Linked DNA regions of Macaca mulatta. The protein of the gene in region 3 interacts with the protein of the main gene of each other region in a pairwise test. Links are inferred from orthologs where the notes say so. Each region holds a gene or a part of one and is shown on either strand. Other genes may lie near its edges.

Region 1 (3,646 bases), on a different chromosome or scaffold from region 3:
GCTGAACGTATCATTTGGAAAGAGGTGTCATTCTGATTTTCTGTTTCCCCTCTTTTCTATGTGTCAGGCACATTTTAAAATTTACTTGTTTAGTAACATGTAAAGATGTAAATATCTTTCCTGGGACCTATTGCTCCTTTGTGAAGTACTGGAAGATGTTTTGTGTATATTACACAGTAGCCCCCCCTTACCCATGCCTCCACTTTCCCAGGTTTTAATTACCCATGGTCAACTGTGATCTGAAAATATTAGATGAGAAATTCCAGAAATAAACAATTTGTAAGTTTCAGATTGCATATTCTTCTGGGTAGTAGTATGATGAAATCTGGTCGTCCTGCTCTGTCCCATCCAGGACTGAGTCCTTCCTTTGTCCAGCATGTCCAAGCTGTGTGGCACGTATGGGCAGGAGAAAGCATAGCATATACGGGGTTCAGCACCATCCACGGTTTCTGGTGTCCACATAGTGGGGGGAGGGGTGCTTCTTGAAACAAAACCCTCATGGATGAGGGGGACTGCTGTGAACCAAAAGCTTAATTTAAAGAGGTGACCACAGACTGTATTGCACTATCCAGGATTCAGTTATCTTTTTGAATTATAAGCAGATAAGAACAAACATTCCGGAAGACGTTTCTTGTTTCCTTTGCTTTTGATTTTCTTCTGATGCTTCTTGGTGTCTTCTCTTGCTGCGGATCCCACAGGGACACCTCCACATCGCCCAGGTGCCGCAGGGGGAGCAAGTCCAGATCACGCAGGACAGCGAGGTGAGTCACCTCTTGCTGCAGCACTGTCCCTGCAGGCACGGTGCCCGCGTGCTCTCGACCTTCATCGGTGTCACAGTGCGAGGGCAGCCGGGAGCCCCAGAGGACGGGGAACGTGGGCAAGGGCTTCAGGACTCTGCTTCCAGGGTGCACGTGGCGGGCCTGCAGTCTCTGTGGCCTCACTGCCTCCCCTCCTGTCTGTTGGTCTCCACAGCTTCTGGTCTGTCTTGGTAAAGATCTCCTGGGTTGACGTTTCTGTTCCTGGCTGGAAGTGCCCTCTGAGTACCCTTCTCTCCCTGTCCGGCCCTGTCCTTCCTGCCAGGGGAGGCCCCCAGTGTGGCTAAGGTGTGGTCTACCCCTGCACAGGTGACCTGACATAGCCCCTCACCTGCCATGTGGCCCCAGCTTCCTCGTGGCCTCTGTGGGATTAGTGCCGATTTCATGGGACGGTGGGGAATCCCATGAGGTGATGCTGCCAGTCCTGAGAGCTGGGAATAGCCCTTGGCGCACCTGCCAGGTCTGTGATTATCTCCGCTGTCTCCATTTCTGGAGCTCTGCCTGGCCATGCACTCAGAAGTGTGGGCTCAGCTGCTGTTGGGGTCTGGAATGTGAAGGCAGGAGTGACAGTCTGAGTTCTTGGAAAGCCGAGGCTGGCCGGTTGCGGTGCTCCGTGTTTGCGTGCCACAGCAGGACTGTCTCCTGGGTGGCTGGTGACTGTCCTTCGACTCTGGGCTGTTTCCTACAGCACGGGCAGCAGCAGGCGCAGGGCACTAAGCAGCACACACGTGTTGTACTGAGTGACCGTGGTGCGCTCTGGGGGATGAGGAACATGGCTGTTTCTAGGTCGTGACAATAGCACCAGCGTTGTGTTTGGTGCACGACAGTGTGTCGTTACAAAGATCTCAGGTTTCTCCACACACACCAGCAGCAGAGTCTAGGAAGCTCGGATGCTGAGGTCGAGGGGACTCATGGAGATGTTAGCATGCGAGGCCTCCCGGGAGCTCGTGCTGGGTGCAGGTGCTGTTGGGGAGCGGAGGAGAGAGAAGCTCTGCCTTCGGAGATTCACGGTGGGCGCAGAGGCTCCTGCCCAAGTGCCCATGAGCAAGACTGTGGACACATGCATGCCGTGGCAGGAGGAGCCCCAGGGACTCAGATGTGTCTGCTGGCGGTGGCTTTAATTTGGACACCAGCAGTTCCCAGTGGGTTATCCTGAGAGAGGAGCACATGCATAAGCATTCCGAGGGTGGAATCAGGATGAGGTGAAAGGGGAGGAACGAATTCTTGTGGGGGCCGTAAGCGACTGGGAATGAGTGGGCTCATCCACACAGCAAGATGACCAGGTCACTAAGAAACATGTGGTCAGATGGATGGATGGAAGGAAGCACCGGGGTGGGGGGCAGGTGGGGGACGGTCCCGGGAGGCCAGAGTGTCCAGGAAGGAGCAGGGCCTGGTTCTGTGTCTGTGGGTGGGTCAGGGACCATCTCTGTGGAGATGCCGGGAGATGGCACTAGTCGGCTCAGTGCGGTCAGGTGCAGGAGTCGGGGGCCTGAGCGGCTGCGAGGTGCAGGATCCCAGCAGCACCTTCCAGTGCAGGAGCTGCCTTTGAAGGGCAGGGGAAGGTTTGCTTCTCAAGGCACAGACAAGTGGGGGCTGGAGGCTGAGGTCACTGTCAGAGAGCTCAGCCAGAGTTCTTGAATACCTGGAAGTCCATGCAGTGCGTCGGAATGCTTAATTTCCTTAGAGTCATTGGAAATGAAGGAAAATTGAAACAGCAGCAAAAGAAAAAACACACATTTGCTTTTTATAGTTTATGCTAAAAAATCTTGACTACTCGAATGCAATTTTTTATTACTAGTTTTTCCTCTTTTCAGTTTTCAAAACTGAATCCATCTTGTATAGGTGATCTTTTGTTTTCATTAAGATTTGAATGCAGTAAGTTAGAAATTGCTGATAATGCTAACGATGGCTTTGTGATAAGTGACAGTATGCAGTCTCCACCGTAAATTCATACCGTGTTCATTTGAAATTATTTTGTTAAAACAGGATATCTGCAAATAAACGTTTAGCAGGGTCTAACAGTCTTAAAACAGTTCCTTTTTACAACAAATGAAAGCGAGTTTCTAGCTGGAGAGCTCTTGGTAGCTCCGTGGTTGAGTGAGCTGGTTCCTCGTGTGCGGCCCATGTCCTGGCATGGTGATGCCGCACAGCTCAGCAAAGCGTCCTCACTGGGGGCAGCTGGGCGGCACACACATAGGACCTCTCTCTGCTACTTTCTGTACTTTTTGTGAGTCAAATTCTTTCAAAATAAAAAATGAAGCCAAAATGACATTTTCATTTGGGGTCAGGGTGGGGGAATGGGTACAGTGCTTTTTGAGTTGTTTGTTCACCTTTAAGATAATAAATAGTACCTAAAAATATAAATATTTTATTTTGGAGCTTTTGTTGCTACTAGAGGTTGAATTTTTAGAACCAGTGTTTTTCTTGTTATTCTCAAATGGCCCGTGATGTGTGTTGGCGTGTTTGCCGAGTCTACGGGTGTCTTGGCGTGTTTCTGCTCATGACCGTCTCCTCCTCTCATTCTTTGCAGGGCAACCTCCAGATCCATCACGTGGGGCAGGATGGTCAGGTGAGTGTCCCAGTGCGGGAGTTGCACTGCTGAGGGGTTGGGCTCTCACAGGAGGGGGTGGGACGGTCAGGTGAGTGCCGTGGTCCCCATGTACATGTGGGCATTGCGCTGCCAAGGGATGGGGCTCTCATGGGAGGGGGTGGGACGGTCAGGTGAGCTACCCCAGTCCTTATACATATACACAGGCATTGCGCTGCGGAGGGGTGGGGCTCTCACAGGATGGGGTGGGACGGTCAGGTGTGTGCCCTGGTCTCCACACACA
Region 2 (3,646 bases), on a different chromosome or scaffold from region 3:
GGGACCACAGGCATGCACCACCACACCTGGCTAATTTTTTTGTATTTTTTGTAGAGATGGAGTCTCACCATGTTGCTCAGGCTGGTCTCAAACTCCTGGGCTCAATAGATTTTCCTGCCTCAGCCTCCCAAAGTGCTGGGATTACAGGCATGAGCCACCATCCCCGGCCCTTTCTTTTTTTTTTTCAATAGAGACAGGGTCTCGCTATGTTGCCCAGGGTGGACCACACTGGCTATTCTGGCTATTCACAGTCACAATCAAGGGGCACTGCAGCCTAGAACTCCTGGGCTTAAGCGATCCTCCCACCTCAGCCTCCCAAGTAGCTGGGACTATAGGGAAAGTCTTCCTGATGACATTACTCCCAGGCTCTCTTCTCTGCACTCCCTTCCCCTGTTCCTGGCCACACAAGTTGTTCTTCTGCTCACTCTGTGCTCTTATTCAAATGATGCTTAAATCACTGGCAGATTCTTTGAGGAGTGCCTTTAGAGCCCATTGACAAGTATACAAGAACACTAATCTGTGACCCCAAAAAACATCCTGTCCCAGCTTCATTATCCACCTTCTTCACCACATGAAACTCTGAAAAACTCCCAGCTACTTGCAAAAGTAAAACTGCTAGCTACCCCATACATGCAGTATTTACTGGATGTCTACCACAGGCCCAGCACTATGCAAGGTGGTGACTCCATAGTCAAAGGACTGACTGGGGTCATTCAGGACTGTAGTCCTCACCAGAGGATACTCCCTTCCCACTGCCATGGGTGATCAAGCGTGGCATTCTCCTTCCAGCCTGGGAGCTCCGTGTCCTGTGAGGCTCTCAGCATAGATCCCAGTACGTGGTAGGCGAAAGCTCAATAAATGAGGTGAGGGGTGGCAATAAGGGAGAGGGAGGAGAGAAATCACACCCAAATCTTCCCAGAACGATTATATAAACAAAGGCAGCTCCCCTTTACGGGCAACAGCTCCCTGGAGGCATCTTAGGCCTAGGACAGCGCCCACTTTGGACAGCTGGACTTCCATTTCTCCCTACCACCCATCGGCTCTCGCCACTGCCCCTATCTTTCTCCCCTCTTCCCCTCTAAGCTTCCCGTAATATATAGGAACACTACAAGGGCAATAAAGTGTATGAGACATCTATGAAGAAGTGAATCCCCAATCACATTGCCCACGTGTATACCCTGATCTGGGGAGAAGGCAGAAGCAGGAGGTGATGGGGCTGGGCAGAAACAGTGGAAGAGCACATCCAGGCAGCCCACAGAGAGGGACAAAGAACAAGGAACGAGGGTCTGCTTGTGGGCACCTGGCTGGATGCCAAGGGCAGGGGAGAAGGGGACACTCCTGGGGAGCAGCAGTAGGTCAAGCTGACCCATCAGGACCAGGGCTGTGCCCACGTGCTGGAGAGAAGGTGAGATGACTAGGGGGCGATGGGGGGAATGGGAGAGCATGATCTCCCTGAGTAGACTGGGGCCCCACAGCAGCAGGTCTCCTTGTACAAGGATGTCTGCAGCTCAGCAAACTGGGAGTGAAGCCCAGGGAGGGACAAGGGCACCAGGGCATCACTCACAAGCAAGTTGTCACAGATGCCACTGGCCACCTTCCCCAGCGTGTTGGCATCAAGAGGAGCCACCAGCAGGAGGTCTGCCCACCTCCGCAGGTCAATGTGCAGAACTGGGTCAGAGCGGCTCTTCCACATCTGGCAGAGGGAAGAAAAAGGGGTCAGTGTGGAGGAAGTGGGATGCAGCGCCAAGGCAGGCGAGGAGACTGAGAAGCCCACTGACCTGCCCTGCCCAGGCCAACCTCCGTTCCCTCCTGCAGCTAAGCTGGCGAGCACTAGCCATGGAGCCAGCAGCCGAGAGAACCAGGCCAGAGGAAACAAGCGCCCCTTGTCTCTCTGAGCTACTCCCTTCACGGTTTGGCTTTCAAGAGAACTGACATCTGGCAGGGAGCTCCCGGCCTGTCTGCTTGAGGCGGATGCTTGGGTTGTCCAAGCCAGTGGAAGGCTCTGGGGCAGTGAGAAATGGAGGGGGTGGGGGCAGGGAAGACAGACCAGCCGGAAATGTTCTAGGCTGAGAATGTTTGGAAATGCCTGGCAGGGAACCCCTGTGAGGCCCACACTCAGTGTCTGGTGAATCAGCCAGTGCCCACCCATCCGCAGGGGAGATGCAGCAGAGCCCAGTGGCCGTGGGAAGTGAGGCGTTCTCTTTAGCCCTGACGCCAGGAGCCACGTGGACAAGGGTGGTGGGAACAGAGCTCCTCTGTGGTTTCATCAGCCCAGATAAGTACAAGGACACTCAACCTCAGGCACCAGGCCAAAGCCCAGCTCCGCCTGGGCTGGGAGGAGACTAGGGCCTCCTGCAGGCCAGAAGCTAGACAGATGTTTTCTTCATTGCCTCTGCCCAGAGGGCCCTGACCGTGGATTTGAGCCCAGCCTGTCTGTTCCAGCTGCCAGACCATAGGCTGCAGGGAGGACTGCTCTGTCCTGCTGGTGGAAAGTCAACGGGACTCAGCCCAGGAGCCCCCAGCACTGACCTCCCATTCATCAGCATCGCTGTAGAGGGTGACAGGAATGTCCTGGGGGCTGTAGAAATGTTTGGCTCTCTCAGTTGTGACCACTGCTACTTCCAGCTGTCACCAAGAAAAAGGGGGTGGTGGGGAGGGAGGAAGAAACTGTTACCAGAGTCACAGGCCTGGAGGTCACAGGAGGGTCAGGGCAGGCAAGTGCTGTCTTCACAGGCTGGCTTTAGAGAAGACTTCCCTCCTTAGCTGCAAGCCCCATGTCTGCTTAGCTACTTCTGCTGTCACCCAAAGGTCAGGCCCTACCAGGTGTGGCTGTTTCACTTCCCTATCTGAGGGGCTGCTGAGGAATGAGTCACCAACTGCCCATATATACAAAGCTGCAAGCTCCTGCCACTCGGGCAGAGGGAGGCCCAGGGGCAGAGGCACGCAAGTGACAGGAAAGGAAGTCAAGGCCAGGGCTGCAGAGGCCACAGCAGGCAGGAGGGGCCACCCAAGGAGGCTCATAGGTCCTGAGTTCTGTGCCACACAGCAGCCCTGCCCTCTGCAGGCCAAGGCACTGGGGGCTGAGGCACAGCATGTCCTCTGTGCATGCACGCCCCCAAGAGAAGGCAGACAGTGTCCCTTCACGTACTTCTAGGAACATGGGCACAGGCTGCAGACAGGCTCCTGGAAAACCCAGCTTGTGTGTGCCCTACACTCATGGGGTGAGAATGAGGTTTACCCGCACACTACCCATTCACTAAGAAATTACTAATGCAAACCAGGGCTGCCTGCAATCTGCTTAACAGAACACATGGCTGTGAGAAACAGCACCCAGGAGTGTGAAGGGCACTAGATGGGTTGGTCATCATTTGTAAAACAAGAATTTTTTTTTTTTTTTTTTTTTTGAGATGGAGTCTCATTCTGTCGCCCAGGCTGGAGTGCAGTGGCATGATCTCGGCTCACCACAATCTCCGCCCCCAGGTTCAAGAGATTCTCCTGCCTCAGCCTCCCAAGTAGCTGGGATTACAGGTGCACACCACCACATCCAGCTAATTTTTGCGTTTTTAGTAGAGACGAGGTTTTTCACCATGTTGGCCAGGCTGGTCTCAAACTCCTGACCTCAGGTGATCCACCCACCCGAGTCTCC
Region 3 (3,646 bases):
ATTTTTGTACTATAATATGTGCATAAAACTTATAGATTCATTTTAGGGTAACTGGCATCTTAATAGTATGTATTATAAGTCTTTGTTCAAGTCTTTTAAGTTATTTATTTCAGGCCGGGCGCGGTGGCTCAAGCCTGTAATCCCAGCACTTTGGGAGGCCGAGACGGGTGGATCACGAGGTCAGGAGATCGAGACCATCCTGGCGAACACCGTGAAACCCCGTCTCTACTAAAAAATACAAAAAACTAGCCGGGCGAGGTGGCGGGCGCCTGTAGTCCCAGCTACTCGGGAGGCTGAGGCAGGAGAATGGCGTAAACCTGGGAGGCGGAGCTTGCAGTGAGCTGAGATCCGGCCACTGCACTCCAGCCCGGGCTACAGAGCGAGACTCCGCCTCAAAAAAAAAAAAAAAAGGGCCGGGCGCGGTGGCTCAAGCCTGTAATCCCAGCACTTTGGGAGGCCGAGACGGGCGGATCACGAGGTCAGGAGATCAAGACCATCCTGGCTAACACGGTGAAACCCCGTCTCTACTAAAAATACAAAAAACTAGCCAGGCGAGGTGGCGGGCGCCTGTAGTCCCAGCTACTCCGGAGGCTGAGGCAGGAGAATGGCGCAAACCCGGGAGGCGGAGCTTGCAGTGAGCTGAGATCCGGCCACTGCACTCCAGCCCGGGCTACAGAGCAAGACTCCGTCTCAAAAAAAAAAAAAAAAAAAAAAAGTTATTTATTTCAGAGCTGAGATGGGAGGATTGCTTGAGCTGGGAGGTGGAGATTGCAGTGAGCCAATGTCACACCACTGCACTCCAGCATGGGCAACCAAGCAAGACCGCGTCTCAAAAAAAAAAAAAAAAAAAAAACCCTATGTTTATATCTTTTGCTACTTTTTCCTTTTTTGAGTACTATGTTGAATATTAGCAACCTAATAGGCATCCTCTCTAATTAAGCTCTCCGATAAGTATGTCATTTCCCAAACAAAAGCCTAGATTCATCTGTAATATAATGACACTCATAGTGACAGTGAGGGGGCAAAAATAGTTTTTGTCCTGAACAATCAGTTAATGGTGGTGCCACTTGCTGAGACAAAGAATACAGGAAGGCTAGGCATGGTGGTTCACGCCTGTAATCCCATTTTGGGAGCCTGAACAGGAGGATTGCTTGAGCCCAGGGGTTCAAGACCAGCCCAGGCAACAACATAGTGAGACCCTCATCTATACAAAAAATACAAAAATTAGGCCGGGCGCGGTGGCTCATACCTGTAATCCCAGCACTTTGAGAGGCTGAGGCTGGTGGATCATGAGGTCAGGAGTTAGACACCAGCGTGGCCAATATGGTGAAAGCTCTACTAAAAATACAAAAATTACCCGGGCGTGGTGGCAGGCACCTGTAATCTCAGCTACTCGGGAGGCTGAGGCAGGAGAATCACTCGAATCCGGGAGGCGGAGGTTGCAGTGAGCCAAGATCACGCCACTACACTCCAGCCTGGGTGACAGAGCAAGACTCCATCTGGAAAAAAAAAAAATTGCAAAAATTAATGGGGCGTAGTGGCATGCACCTGTAGTTCCAGCTACTTGGGAGGCTGAGGTGGGAGGATCTCTTGAGCACACCACTGCACTCCAGCCTGTGCAACACAGCAAGACCCTGTCTCAGAAAAAAACAAGAATACAGGAGGAAGAGCAACAAGATGGAATTCAGTTTTAGAAGCCGTCTGAAGTGCCTGTGGGCTACCCAAGTAAAGATATCCAGTAAGTAGTTCTCCTTAAGGGCTAGCACAGAATGCTAGGCTAGAGGTGAAGATTTGAGAGCTCTACATTTTTTTTATAGATGTTAACTGAAGCCACGGGCATGCAGGAGATCAATTCAGGGACAGTATATGTAGAGTGAGAAGAAAAGAATGCAGAGGGGAATGAGAAGGTCAGAGAGGTAAAGGGAAAACCAGTAGAAGTACAATGTGATGTTAACTCCCCAGGCAGGGCCCACAATACCTTCTCCCAGAGAAGCCTTAATGCCTAGGATCCTAGGGTCACAAAGGGATATCCTAGGATGTTTTGACTCTCTCTTTCTTTTTGCCAGTTGCCAGGTATAAACTCCGAATTGTTAAGCCACCAAAATTACCCCTAGAGAAAAAACCCAACCCTGATAAGGATGGTAAGTATTGAGTTCTCTGACCTGTTTCTGTGACCTGGGCTGGAGACCAGGGGCACCCAAAGCCAGTGGGCTGCAGCACACAATCTCCTTTTGTTCTGCACAGGTCCAGATTATGAACCCAACCTCTGGATGTGGGTAAACCCCAACATCGTGTATCCCCCTGGAAAACTGGAGGTCCCAGGACCTAGGAAGAGGGAGGATCTGACAAGCACACTTCCCTTGTCTCAGCCACCACAGAAGGAGGAAGATGCCAGCTGCTCAGAAGCCACAGGGGTGGAATCACTGTCCCGGTCCTCCAGCAAGTGGTCTCCCCCTCGGAAGCGCTTTGCCTTTTCCCCCAGCACCTGGGAGGTATGGATCTCTGGGGGTGGGAGCCGGACTTGGGCAGTAGGTGAGGGGCATGGGGAAGAGCCATCACAATTCTGCTCTCTTAGCCATAGCAAAAGGCGAATGGGTTCAGAAATTACCTTCATGCTTGGGTTGGGGAGAAGCCCAGATGGTGGCCTTAGACCACCCCCCCTTCCTGCCACTGCACCCTGGAGTAGAGGCTGAGGAGTCAGGACCAGTTCCTACTCTGTGCTCCTCTAGCTCACAGAAGAGGAGGAGGCTGAGGACCAGGAAGACAGCTCCTCTGTGGCTCTCCCATCCCCTCACAAAAGGGCCCCCCTCCAGAGTCGGAGGCTTCGGCAAGCCAGCAGCCAGGCGGGGAGGCTCTGGTCCCGGCCCCCTCTCAATTACTTCCACCTAATTGCCCTGGCATTAAGAAACAGTCCCCCCTGTGGCCTCAACGTGCAACAGATCTACAGTTTCACTCGGTATGTGCCGGGGGCCCTGTGAGGAGGGGGAAGTGGGGGCCAGGGCCCTGGGCTGATGCCTTCCAATCCATCCCAGGCCCTGGGTTGCTGACCTGGTTTCCCTATCTGGGTCTGAGAGGACGAGTATGTTCCCAGTTCCCTTTTCCCAGGCACATTTGTGCCCACATGTGTACAGGAACATATCCATTCCCAGCCCTTTTCACATCTAAAGAACCCTCCAACCTTTTTATGACTTTAGTTCTTTTTTTCTTTTTCTTTTTTTTTTTTTCTTTTTAACTAGTTTTCAGTGCTCTTTGGGTATAGTTCTCCTTTAAAACATAAATTCACTTGGGTCAGGTAACAGTTTTCCACCATCCTCTGAAGATGAGCCAGTCTAAAGTCAGGTTCCCCAACAGTTCCCACCTGCTTCTGCTAGGACTGGACTGCCTGGCACAGCTCCCTGCACCCCCAGGGGTGCAGGGAACCCAGTTGAGAAGGGTTTTCCATTTAGCTCAGAAAGTTCTGCTCACATGAGTGCGAGGGAGTTTGTTGGGCCCTTTCCCAGTGTTAGGAAAAGTGCCTAATGTCTCAGAATAGGCATTTTCAAGTGGTTTCCGTCCTCGATCAAGATTCCTCTTATGGGAGATGCTTGGCCTGATTCTGCTTTGTTCATGCTGTGGTCCAAGCCCTGGGCCCTCAGAGGGAGGGAGG

The links.
Region 1: the proteins of FOXR1 (region 3) and BANP interact in binary tests that used the Homo sapiens proteins (3 or more experiments, as listed by UniProt). The two-hybrid records come from large-scale screens. The link is inferred for Macaca mulatta from reciprocal best matches to the Homo sapiens genes FOXR1 and BANP.
Region 2: the proteins of FOXR1 (region 3) and PPCDC interact in binary tests that used the Homo sapiens proteins (3 or more experiments, as listed by UniProt). The two-hybrid records come from large-scale screens. The link is inferred for Macaca mulatta from reciprocal best matches to the Homo sapiens genes FOXR1 and PPCDC.

Annotation. Positions count from the first base shown.
Region 1 is NC_133425.1:83,425,249-83,428,894, forward strand, and holds part of BANP (protein BANP), read left to right. Parts: intron 1-689; coding exon 690-761; coding exon of another isoform or gene 762-801; intron 802-3,345; coding exon 3,346-3,384; exon of another isoform or gene 3,385-3,646. UniProt on the Homo sapiens protein: Controls V(D)J recombination during T-cell development by repressing T-cell receptor (TCR) beta enhancer function. Binds to scaffold/matrix attachment region beta (S/MARbeta), an ATC-rich DNA sequence located upstream of the TCR beta enhancer.
Region 2 is NC_133412.1:52,997,820-53,001,465, reverse strand, and holds part of PPCDC (phosphopantothenoylcysteine decarboxylase), read right to left. Parts: exon of another isoform or gene 3,382-3,646; intron 2,790-3,381; exon of another isoform or gene 2,626-2,789; coding exon 2,530-2,625; exon of another isoform or gene 1,728-2,529; intron 1,694-1,727; coding exon 1,565-1,693; intron 1-1,564. UniProt on the Homo sapiens protein: Catalyzes the decarboxylation of the cysteine moiety of 4-phosphopantothenoylcysteine to form 4'-phosphopantotheine and this reaction forms part of the biosynthesis of coenzyme A.
Region 3 is NC_133419.1:119,666,599-119,670,244, forward strand, and holds part of FOXR1 (forkhead box protein R1), read left to right. Parts: intron 1-2,066; coding exon 2,067-2,141; intron 2,142-2,244; coding exon 2,245-2,492; intron 2,493-2,729; coding exon 2,730-2,956; intron 2,957-3,646. UniProt on the Homo sapiens protein: Transcription factor which acts as both an activator and a repressor.